Macaca fascicularis: one gene and its partner. The protein of the gene in region 1 interacts with the protein of each later gene in a biochemical or structural test. Links are inferred from orthologs where the notes say so. Each region holds a gene or a part of one and is shown on either strand. Other genes may lie near its edges.

Region 1 (6,137 bases):
TTTTCAATTCTAAAGCATAGATATTTCCCCCTAAAACACAGGGAAGGGTCCAGGTTTTCAGAATGACCCTGTTTCTCAAGTCCCTTAACTGCTAACCTAGGAGCTTATCCTCTGGAGAGTTTCTGAAGAAAGGCTTCTCTTTGCCTCAGTTTCCTTATCTGTAAAATGGGTGATAATAATGGTACTACTTCCTGAGGTCCTGGTGAGAATTAGATGAGTCAATATGTATAAAGGGCCTAGAACACTACCTGGCACACAGTAAGTGCTCCGTAGGTGTTAGCTTAACTTCATTATGAACTTTAGTTCTTCCATCTTATTTGTACTGCTTTCTATTTGTGATCATATATTTTTCAATTACTAAGCATTAACAGTGGCCTTGTAAGCGACTATTTCAGCCCTAGTGCACCTTTGGGGCAGCAGTTTGGCTGGTGGCTTATAAATAGTCATCCCCCAGATCAGAGGCACCCATGCTTTTCTATAGACCCTGTGTAAGTTGTATCTGTTAATTTCCTTCATTGAGAAATATATACTGTAGATAAAAGAATCCAGCAAAGCCTTTAATTGGTAACTTTATTAATAACAATAGCATCTACACACATTTGAAAACACACATGTAGGAGACAGTTAAGATTTATTCAGTCTGGCCGGGCGCGGTGGCTCAAGCCTGTAATCCCAGCACTTTGGGAGGCCGAGGCGGGCGGATCACAAGGTCAGGAGATCGAGACCACAGTGAAAAAAAACCCCGTCTCTACTAAAAATACAAAAAATTAGCCGGGCGCGGTGGCGGGCGCCTGTAGTCCCAGCTACTCAGGAGGCTGAGGCAGGAGAATGGCGTGAACCCAGGAGGCGGAGCTTGCAGTGAGCCGAGATCGCGCCACTGCACTCCAGCCTGGGCAACAGCGTGAGACTCCGTCTCAAAAAAAAAAAAAAAAAAAAAAAAAAAAGATTTATTCAGTCTGTGATAATGTCTAGAGCTCATTTGGATTCATCAGACCCCTGCTATCAACTCCAAAACCCTTAGCCAAAAACAGAGTTGAATCACTCATCAAACCATCAGTGTCTTCCTCGGCAGAATCAAGGGTTGGACAGAAAGAGTAAATATTCTGTACCTCCACAAAATAAAACTAAAATGCAATTGTCCTGCATCTGAGAATACAAGGGTGGACAGTATGAGCTGCATGACTGTGAACCAATGAGGCTTCCCTTGGCCTCATTTGTAAAAAGGAGATTAACCCTGTAGTCCTGCCTATCTTGCATGGCCTCCTGGAAAGCAAATGAGGTGATGATGGCCGGGCGCGGTGGCTCAAGCCTGTAATCCCAGCACTTTGGGAGGCCGAGGCGGGCGGATCACAAGGTCAGGAGATCGAGACCACAGTGAAAAAAAACCCCGTCTCTACTAAAAATACAAAAAATTAGCCGGGCGCGGTGGCGGGCGCCTGTAGTCCCAGCTACTCAGGAGGCTGAGGCAGGAGAATGGCGGGAACCCGGGAGGCGGAGCTTGCAGTGAGCCGAGATCGCGCCACTGCACTCCAGCCTGGGCAACAGCGTGAGACTCCGTCTCAAAAAAAAAAAAAAAAAAAAAAAAAAAAAAAAAAAAAAAAAAAAATGAGGTGATGACTGTCAATTAAAAGCTCCTCTCCTTTAAGAGGGGAACACCAAGAGGGGAGAGTAAGAAAAGAAGGAAAAGGCTCTTTCCAGTGACCAATACGCTGAATTTGATGAAAATCCAAAAGAGGTTATGCTAAACTGGGAAGCGTAAGGGTGGATCTACCATTGCCACCTCCTCTTTGATGCAAAAAAAATCTTAACACGGCCCCCTCCCAGCTGTTGCACTGAGGTGACTAAGGACACATTTGAGGAAGTAGCTCCAAAAACATTTCCATTTTCACCGTGCCTTCACATACATCTAACGGAAATGAACAGCACCCATCATCCATCCACGAAAGCGATTAAGAAAACGATGGGATGGAAAAACTAACCCAACAATATTACATCAATACGTAGTATTTAGGTAAGTGTCCATAATGTGCCAGGCTGAAGATGCACGGGAAAACCACACCAGCCGGTCAAGGGCTTGAGAATACCATAAACAAGAAAACAGACGAACCAATTTCAGACAGCTGCTAGAAGGAAGATAAAATGAGACAGGCAAGTATGAGCGGCGCGAATTCCTTAGTGGATGACGTAGATCTCTGACAGGTGACTTTTGAGCCCGTATCTACACGGTAAGTGCCTCGCAGTGACCTGGGGCCGCAGCCTTACCCTTTAAAGCAGAGACCATTAAATGCAAAAATTATCAACAAAACGAGAAATAGGAATTTCAAAGTCTCAAAGTGAACGACGGAAACTGAAATCTACAAATTAGAAAGAGGCGCAGAATTTTGAATATTCATGTCGCCCAATCAGGAAAAGGCTGGGACCCGGCTGCGCGGGCTTCGTCCAAAATACACAGAACGGCTGGTATCCACAGGAGACCCCATCGCACAGCAGAACTGGTGACCGGACACAAAAGGTGCTGCCAAGCGTCAGTCATACACAGCTGTCACGCAGTGTTTGCGGAACCTGGGCTGAATCGTGCCCTGGAGTTCTCTTAAATAACAGCCGAACTCAGCCACTTCGTTTTAGAATGAAACAGACCCAAGAAGCCACCAGGGCGCCAGTGTGGGGCGGGAGTGGGGGCGGGTAAAGAGGCGGATTCCCAACATCCTAATTGAGAACCGACTCCTGGGAATGCTAAGCAGCACAATGAGTGAAGACACGCTCTAGATTCAAAAGCAAATCCAATCATGCACCGGGGACCTCAAGTTCCAAATGGTTAAAAACCTACGTGTGGCATTTCCCATGACCTTTACGCTAAAATTACTTTATGAGAAGAAACTAAGGGAGTAAGTGAACAAGCTCTTTTCTAGTGATTAGGTGGGTGGCTCTGAAAAGAGCCTTTGGAGTCAAGCAGCCGGCGACTCGAGCGAGCGAGCGCCAGGTCCCGGCAGGGACTCACTTGGAGCTGGTGTACTTGGTGACTGCCTTGGTGCCCTCGGACACGGCGTGCTTGGCCAGCTCGCCGGGCAGCAGCAGGCGCACGGCCGTCTGGATCTCGCGGGACGTGATGGTGGAGCGCTTGTTGTAGTGCGCCAGGCGGGACGCCTCTCCCGCGATGCGCTCGAAAATGTCGTTGACGAAGGAGTTCATGATGCCCATGGCCTTGGACGAGATGCCGGTGTCGGGGTGGACCTGCTTCAGCACCTTGTACACGTAGATGGAGTAGCTCTCCTTGCGGCTGCGCTTGCGCTTCTTGCCGTCTTTCTTCTGGGCTTTGGTGACGGCTTTCTTGGAGCCCTTTTTAGGAGCCGGAGCGGATTTTGCCGGTTCAGGCATGGTAAGACACAGTACAAACGCGGCTTAGCCAAGAAAAGAAGTAAGAGAATGGGCGGGCCTGATTCTTTTATAACCACCTTATGCAAATTAGGGCTCCGAAAGTCATTCATTTCCATTGGTCCGTGTGCGGACCTTGCGTTTTCAGCAATGCGTACGCAACAACACCGACTCTTGACTTGATTGGCCGGTTCTGAAGCCATATTAGGACCAATGAAAAACTCGTTCTAGACCCCACCCCTAGGAAAGCTTATAAAGGCTTTCCTCTTGGTTCTCTTTCAAGCTTATTTTGTAGCGAGGTTCTGAGCATTGTCTGTGTTTAACCTTGGTTTCAGTCATGTCTGGTCGTGGCAAACAAGGAGGCAAGGCTCGCGCCAAGGCCAAGTCGCGCTCGTCCCGCGCTGGCCTCCAGTTCCCGGTAGGGCGAGTGCACCGCTTGCTGCGCAAAGGCAACTACGCGGAGCGGGTGGGGGCTGGCGCGCCAGTCTACATGGCGGCGGTCCTCGAGTACCTGACCGCCGAGATCCTGGAGCTGGCGGGCAACGCGGCTCGGGACAACAAGAAGACGCGCATCATCCCTCGTCACCTCCAGCTGGCCATCCGCAACGACGAGGAACTGAACAAGCTGCTGGGCAAAGTCACCATCGCCCAGGGCGGCGTTTTGCCTAACATCCAGGCCGTTCTGTTACCAAAGAAAACTGAAAGCCACAAAGCCAAAAGCAAATAAATGCAGACAAACAAACCAAAGACCAAAGGCTCTTTTTAGAGCCACCCAAGTTTTCAAAAAAAGAGCTAATGCGCTATTTCGTGATCAGCCCTTCATTTGACACTTTGGTGGCTCTTAAAAGAGCCTTTGGGGTGAATGAGTATGGTGTCAAGCCTCTTAATTACTTGTTCTTGCCAGGCTTGTGACTCTCCGTTTTCTTGGGCAACAGGACAGCCTGGATATTGGGTAAGACGCCGCCCTGGGCAATGGTGACACCCCCGAGTAACTTGTTGAGCTCTTCGTCATTCCTCACGGCTAGTTGCAGATGGCGAGGGATGATGCGCGTCTTCTTGTTGTCCCGAGCCGCGTTGCCTGCTAGCTCCAGAATTTCCGCGGTCAGGTACTCGAGGACCGCCGCCAGGTACACCGGGGCGCCTGCCCCCACCCGTTCCGCGTAGTTGCCCTTGCGCAGCAAGCGGTGCACTCGCCCCACCGGGAACTGGAGGCCAGCGCGGGACGAGCGCGACTTGGCCTTAGCGCGGGCCTTGCCTCCCTGCTTTCCGCGTCCTGACATTACGGCTAAAATTGCAGTTACAGCTTCTTTTACAAGGAGAAGAATGTGGAAAGAATAACCAATTTGATGTAATTTATAAGAGCTACCGGGAGGGGTGAAGGGAAGTCGTTTGATTGGCTAAAAGCGGAGCCGTATCCAACAGCCAATAGAAAAACAGAAAGCCGCCTCTTGGTTTGCATCCTGCCCTGAAAGGAAATGACGGATTTCGTAAGTATCTACCAATCGCTGAGAGCCACATTAAAGCCCCTTATTTGCATGGCAGGATCTTTAAAGAAAGTAGGCTTTCAAACAAAATGTCTTGTACTATGGGGTTTTGCTTTGCTTTGTTTAGTTTACAGCCGGTAAATCCCAACATGGACCCTAAGAAACTGCAGAAGACATCCGTAGACTGAGAGTTACTCTCACGCAAGAGTAGGGGATTCTGAAGCCAATTATCCCCTTGAGCTCTAAACTACTAAGTTCCGCCCTTTCTGTCTCGTCACAGCCAAATTCCCTTTAAAAATACAAGTACTACTAAGGCTGCCTCCTTTCTCGCCCCTCAACTTAAGTCGCCCGCAGCGACTCCGCCCCACCCCCACCCGCCTGCACTCCTTGGAATTCAGTTTGACCAAGGCTAGATCTGTCATCTTCTTGACCTCCAGGAGGCGGCCTTGAAGCTTACTCCCTTGGCTTTCAAAATGTCGCCCTGCGTTTTTCTTCTTAGCTCGCCGACTTTTCTTATCCTGCTTCCCCATGCCATCTCTAAATCTGCGAGTCCAGCTGGATTCTGCTTCTCTATCTCCAATTCTTCACTTATCCCGAAGAGTCTTACCCATTTATATGCTTTCAACTAACATCCAAATTTGTTTCAGAAGCTCAGACCCTTGTGCCTAACTGCTTACTGAATACTTCAATCTACTACTTGTCCCAACGAGCACCTCAAACTCAAACTCAACCTCAGCCTATTCGAACGCGAACTCCTGCAAACAACCTCCCCTCTTTGCCCTCTTCCTGAAATGCGCCAGCATACTTACAGATAACTAAGCCGAAATCTACTCTACTCTTCCCTTCGTCTCAGCATGTCCAGTCAGTTGCTTCCTTAATATCCCTTCAATCTTTTTCTCCACGCTCCCTTGTCCACCTCATCATCATCCCTTAGATTTCAGCAACAGCCGGGAAAGGGTAACTTTGCTGTCAGGCATTAATTGCTGGTGTGACTCCAGCGGCCTTAGAAATCTTTCCTGAAAGCTCTTCTTTTTTTCTTTTATCCCATATAACAGATGAATCTGAAAGCTCTTGTGTTTCTTCCTCCTCAACGTCCCATCTCTGGGAGTTCTACATCTCCTACACCATTCTCACCCTTTCCTTAGTATCCCTTAAGGTCAGGTAGAATAATAGAGAGAAAAAATAGACTTGTGGTTTTTTTGGTTTTTTGAGGCGGAGTTTCGCTCTGTCGCCCAGGCTGGAGCACTTCTCAGCTCACTGCCACCTCCACCACCACCTCCT
Region 2 (5,957 bases), on another chromosome or scaffold:
AGACCAGCCTGGGCAACATAGGGAGATCCCATCTCTACCAAAAAAAAAAAAAATCACGGGTGTGGTGGCACATGCCTGTGGTCCCAGCTACTCAGGTGGCTGAGTCAGGAGGATTGCTTGGCCCCAGGAATTCAAGGCTGCAGTGAGCTAGGATCGTGCCACTGCATTCCAGAGTAAGACAGTGTCTCAAAAAAAAAAAAATTATATATAAAGATCAAAAGGAAAAACTATAATCATAATTCACAGACAATAAGAGTGTCTCAATTTTTTTAAAAAGGAAATCGCCAGAAAGAATAAAACAGTCCATAAATATGTATACTAGTTGTCTACAGAAGAAAAATGTTAGAAATAAAGGTTTTTTAAACTACGTCATTTGTAATAGCAACAAATAAGTATCTAAAAATAAATTTAACGAAAAGCTCTAAAACATCTTCATGGGTACAATTATAAAATTATCTAAGAATATGAAAGATAGATCAAACAGATCGAAAGATAAATAAACCATGTTCATGCACAGAAAGAATTAACATACAGATGGCAATTCTGCCTAATTAATCTATATATCCAATGCAATTAAGTCAAAATTCCAGTAGTATTTTATAAAATTTGATATACTGATCCTAAAATTTATATGGGAGAGGCTGGGTGCAGCGGCTCACGCCTGTAATCCCAGCCCTTTGGGAGGCCGAGGTGGGGGGATCTCGAGGTCAGGAGATCGAGACCATCCTGGCCAACACGGTGAAACCCCATCTCTACTAAAATACAAAACATTAGCCAGGCATGGTGGCATGCGCCTGTAGTCCCAGCTATTCAGGAGGCTGCAGCAGGGGAATCACTTGAACCCAGGAGGCAGAGGTTACAGTGAGCTGAGATTGCCCCACTGTACTCTAGCCTGGTGATAGAGCAAGACTCCATCTTAAAAAAAAAAAAAAATTTATATGGGAGAATAGTGATATAAATTTCAAGAAGTAATCTGTGATGAAAAGAAAAATAAGAAGGGGATGGGAAATCTATTATAGATAAATGGTCAAAGAACGACTGAGAAGGTGACAGGATCAAAGACCTGGATAGAGGGAGGAAGCAAGTCTTTCAGATGGAAAAATAAAACAGACTACTAGAGCTCATATTGTAAATAAAAACAAATTCCTGATATATATCAGGAATATATATACTTTTACTGTAATTTACTGTAACATAAGCCTTAGTCCTGGCTCCCAACAACTTGACTTAAAATATATATATATGTATGTGTGTATATATATATTTTTAAGTCAGTTCTACACAAGAACTTTCAAGTCAGTTCTACTAAGAATTACTAGGTTTTTAAAAAATTTATTCAATTATTCAAGTAAGGCCATTTTAGCTGATTACAGTTTCAAAACTATATGCATGGTACCATGTTACAGAAAAAGAACACCAATTGTGTCAAGTCCACTGAGAAATCTGGGAAGGGAGAGAAAAAGTGACTATTTTGAGATGTTTTAGCTGACTTCTTAATTGAACTTTGCCAAGTATGAGGTATCCAATCTCCCAACTAAATAAAATAAAGACATTGCCCTAATATCACTGTGGTTACTTAAAATACACTTAAAAATGAATAAATAATGGTCTTGTTCTAGCATAAAGCCTACCTTTATATACAGGGCATTTGTGAACTCGAATGGGAACACAATTTTAACCCATTAACTTAATACAGAGCTCCCTCTGCTGGCCCAGAGAATGCACAGTGATCCTAACACTGACAAAGACCCTCTCATGTCACTTCAATTTCAATAATGTGTCCTGCCGTTGGGGGAAAAAAAAATCTCACCCAAAATACCACTGATGTCATAGCATGTCCTATAAATTAGGACTCTGAAGTCTCCATTACCTTAAGAATCTTTTCTTCCCCTTCCTCCTCTCCCCGTTTTTTATGGCCTTAAAAATGAATACTTTTACAGAGTGTTTACTATTTGCTTTTTGGTGAAGTGGGCTGAAATAAGATGGGCAGTGAGTTGATCACTGCTGAAGCTGAGTGATATAGGTCCACAGGAGTCATGATATTATTGTGTAATTGTATGTATGTTTTAATTTTCCAAATTTAAGTAACTCCTAAAACAATAAGGAATTTTTTTAAATCTCAAAATAAGTGGCAAATCTGTCAAATCTGTAATCCAAAAGGAAGAATTACAAAACCTGCAAAAGACTGTCTGTGAACAAATTTTATTTAATGTTACTCAGACTGTGACTGCTTAGGTTTTTAAATAGTTCTCTTCATGATTATAATAAAAGATGCATGTTTCTCATTAGACATGCTAAAACTATCCAAGTTCAGAAACTGGAAAGAATAAACAACTCATTGAATTAGCATTTGAATTATGAAAATCACATTTGGAAAAAAATTAATTCTTTGAATAAAAATGGGCACAATTTCCCTAACACGTGCATACACAACACATGCTAACAGGTCGGCCTAGTTGTATTGCACAGTGATTATAATCATCTACATAATTAAACCCCTTAAGACAAGCAGATGATTTAGCACTCAGAGTCAATGAAAAGAACCAGAGGTCAGTAACTCATTACTGCAAAATGAACATACTTTTAAAACAGAAGAGGAGGAGAAGGGCAATCTAGTACATGGCATTTAGTTGATAATTTGTATATCACCAAACATGGGATTTCTAGGGTGCCTTAATCTTGAGTTTAAGGGATGAAACATAAAGCACCACAAGCACTGAATGACACAAGAATTTCACTCTAAGATAGGAGCTGAACACAAGGTGTTAGGCCTAGTTACAGGCAAAAAAGGATCAGCCAGATATGGAAAGAAGCAGAGATGAGTTTAAAGTAGAAGAAACTGGATGGAACTTTTCAACTTGTCCAGTCATCTTTCATTGACTGACAGTGTTGGTAAACTTGCGTTAGACCCAAACTGTCATGAAAATAAACTGAAGATGTATGTACAGTAAATAACTCAGAATGTCATTACACCTTGATAGGAATTATGCATCAAACAATGCATGTGCTTCCAAAGATCAAGGTAAGGAAGGAAAATAATGACACCATTCAATGAGAAAATGGCTGTTCTGGTTCAAAAGCAAAATCCTTTCTCACTGTTGATGCTTTCTTGACTTTGACTCCACAGGTCAGCTTTCCCCCTCCCCAAACCTCCTGCCCCCATTGCAAACCTCCAAGTTTTCTACTCCTTTGGTTGTGACAAAAGAAAGAACTCAAAGCTAAGCCTGCATAAACCATGAGAATCTGTCTTCTCTGAAATATGTATGCTTGATCTGAGAAGTCAGTGGATTTACTTAGATAAGCCTTACTTTTCATAGTTCCTTCCTCTTCCTCATCCTCTGTATTGATCACCATGGTGCCCAGCTGTGATGGCAACGTGTCATCGTGCTCAATCATAGTATTGGCTCCATCAGTCATGGTGCCGGCTACTCGGACAGTGCCCATCTCATCACCCACTGCTCGAACCATTGTGCCAGAATCCATTTCATCCTCTTCCTGTGAACAGATACAATCTCAAATTGGGGCTAATTTGACAAAAGACGCTGAGTTTTCTGAATAGCTACTACTTAGTGAAAATATTTCGACATTTAACACTTACTCAGGTCCTAAACTCACCTTCCAGAAATGAAAGCACTGTTACTTAAGCAAAGATGACAAACTTATCCACATGATAATAAGCTTTGTATCTAACCCTAAAGGAATTCTTCCTCCACTCTTCTTAATAGAGTTTTGCAACATAGATCTAAGAAACTCATGTGAACATCTTTGGAATCTCAGGGTTGTGAGGAAGTCTATAAATATAAAAGCTACATGTTAAGTATGGATCCCAGATTCCCTAAAAGGATATGAAAAGCCAAATCCCAGACCTGAGCATTCTCTCTCTAAATAAAAAGTTAAATTGAGTAAAAGATGGGGGGGCAAAAGAGTGAAATTTGAAGGTGTTTTATAGGAAGCACTGGGAGAAGAACAAGTACAGATACAGCAACCCTCTAGCATGAGTTGGTCCAGGTTAGGACATAGCTATGCTGGAAGTCTCCAGCTCCAAGTTGATCCAATACCTCCTATTCATCTTACCTGGTTTGGCAATCATAAAATAACAAGCATCAATGCCTGAGGCCCACAGCAATGGCTGCCACTCACTGAGTTTTCTTCATCGTCCTGGTCCACTTCCCGCTGCTGGGATTCCTGGCGTTTCAGTTTCACATCCATGGCTTCATTAATTAAGTCTCGCAGTATTGACACTCCTTTGGCACTCTTGACAAATGGGTGCTTAAAGAATAAAGTAAAAAATACTGTGGACAATTTATATGGTGACAGTGCCAAAACAGTACCTAGAATACAGTAGGTACTGGATAACATGTGTTGAATCAATCAATGAATCTGATCTTTCTCTTTGTGCTTTGGACAACAGCTAAACCACACTCCCTTTATAACTCTGAGCAGAGCAAATTCAGTCTTTGCCCATCTTTTTCAGCCTGGCTGAAATGCCTATGCCATTTCTCTCTGTCAAATCTAGCGATTCTCAATAGGGAGTATCATCTCCTGGAGGAAGTTGTGTAAACATGTTGGGAACATGTTATAGCTGTCACAATGTTTGGTGAGCACAAATGGCATGGGACACTAGCAATTCTGCAAAGTACAGAACTGTCCTGTACAACAAGGAACTGTGGCAGATTCTGCACATCTTTCAAATGTCTCAGGTTGTGTACACACCTTAGTAGATAATACCAAAAAAATGTTTTCAAGAGATATGCAAAAAGGCCAGTGATTTGGGAGGTGATTTTAGAGAGGGGAGCTTAATGGAATGAAGAAATTATTTAGAAATCACTGAAAAATCTACTCATCTGACTTGTTCTACAGTAGCATTTCCAACTACACATTTAGGTAAAAAGGATTTTAGTGCAAAAATGCAGTTGCTACAGAAATACTAAACTGATCATATATATGTAACAGATTTTGACCCAAATATTATTCAATCACCAAAGATACTTGAAACAAAGGGATATTGTTCAATTTCATTAATAAAAATTGCTTTATAAGTTTTTAATATTAATACCATCGTATGTTTTTATTATTTGTATTTGTAGCACGTGGTAAGAAATCTATGCTGTGAAAGTTACACATGGAAATTCTTTTTGGGGAATTGCCTATTGTCTTCCAAACTTACTCTAGTATTGTCCCCATTGTTTCTTGGCAATCCATTCTCTGTTCTCCATCACCCATCAAAGGATACAAGTTCCAAGTAAGAACTCCAGAGATGTAAAGTATACCTCAAAATGTGATCAGATTGCAATACAGGAGATACATTTCCATGACATTTTGTCACTACCCCATCCAGGTAGGAAAAGAATTTGGCAATCCACTTAGAAATAAGACCCAACTCATTTGCAATAATATCATATTGCTTTGTTCTTTCCACTTGGAAAAGCTACAAGATCATATCCCACCTTCTGTAATCAGAGACAAATAAATCTGGCCTGTTATTATTTAACATCAGTTTCATGCTAGTGTCCATTCATTCTTTTTACTGTATTTCTTAAATGGCATAGTTTCTGATTTTCTTTCTTTCTTTTTTTTTTTTTTGAGATGGAGTCTTGCTCTGTTGCCCAGGCTAGAGTGCAGTGGCACAATCTCAGCTCACTGTAACCTCTGCCTCCCAGGTTCAAGTGCTTCTCCTGCCTCAGCCTCCTGCTGGGATTACAGGCATGTGCCACCATGCCCAGCTAATTTTTGTATTTTTTTAGGAGAGATGGGGATTCACCATGTTGGCCACGCTGGTCTTGATCTCCTGACCTCAAGTGATCCGCCTGCCTCAGCCTCCCAAAGTGCTGGAATTACAGGCATGAGCCACTGTGCTTGGCTAGTTTCTGATTTTCTTACAGCTCTTAAATCTAAACTCATTCATGATGCCAGGCACAGGTATCTATTTCATTATGTCTGCAAACTGGGTCAGGCAG

The links.
Region 2: of the proteins of H2BC21 (region 1) and STK4, one has a biochemical effect on the other in vitro, tested with the Homo sapiens proteins (2 studies listed by BioGRID). The link is inferred for Macaca fascicularis from reciprocal best matches to the Homo sapiens genes H2BC21 and STK4.

What each region holds. Positions count from the first base shown.
Region 1 is NC_088375.1:111,387,729-111,393,865, reverse strand, and holds H2BC21 (histone H2B type 2-E), read right to left. Parts: upstream 3,418-6,137; 5' UTR 3,376-3,417; coding exon 2,995-3,375; 3' UTR 1,715-2,994; downstream 1-1,714. Other genes in the region: H2AC20 (histone H2A type 2-C), read left to right, coding at 3,710-4,099; H2AC21 (histone H2A type 2-B), read right to left, coding at 4,260-4,652. UniProt on the Homo sapiens protein: Core component of nucleosome. Nucleosomes wrap and compact DNA into chromatin, limiting DNA accessibility to the cellular machineries which require DNA as a template.
Region 2 is NC_088384.1:101,096,475-101,102,431, reverse strand, and holds part of STK4 (serine/threonine-protein kinase 4), read right to left. Parts: intron 4,270-5,957; coding exon 4,141-4,269; intron 3,496-4,140; coding exon 3,309-3,495; intron 1-3,308. UniProt on the Homo sapiens protein: Stress-activated, pro-apoptotic kinase which, following caspase-cleavage, enters the nucleus and induces chromatin condensation followed by internucleosomal DNA fragmentation.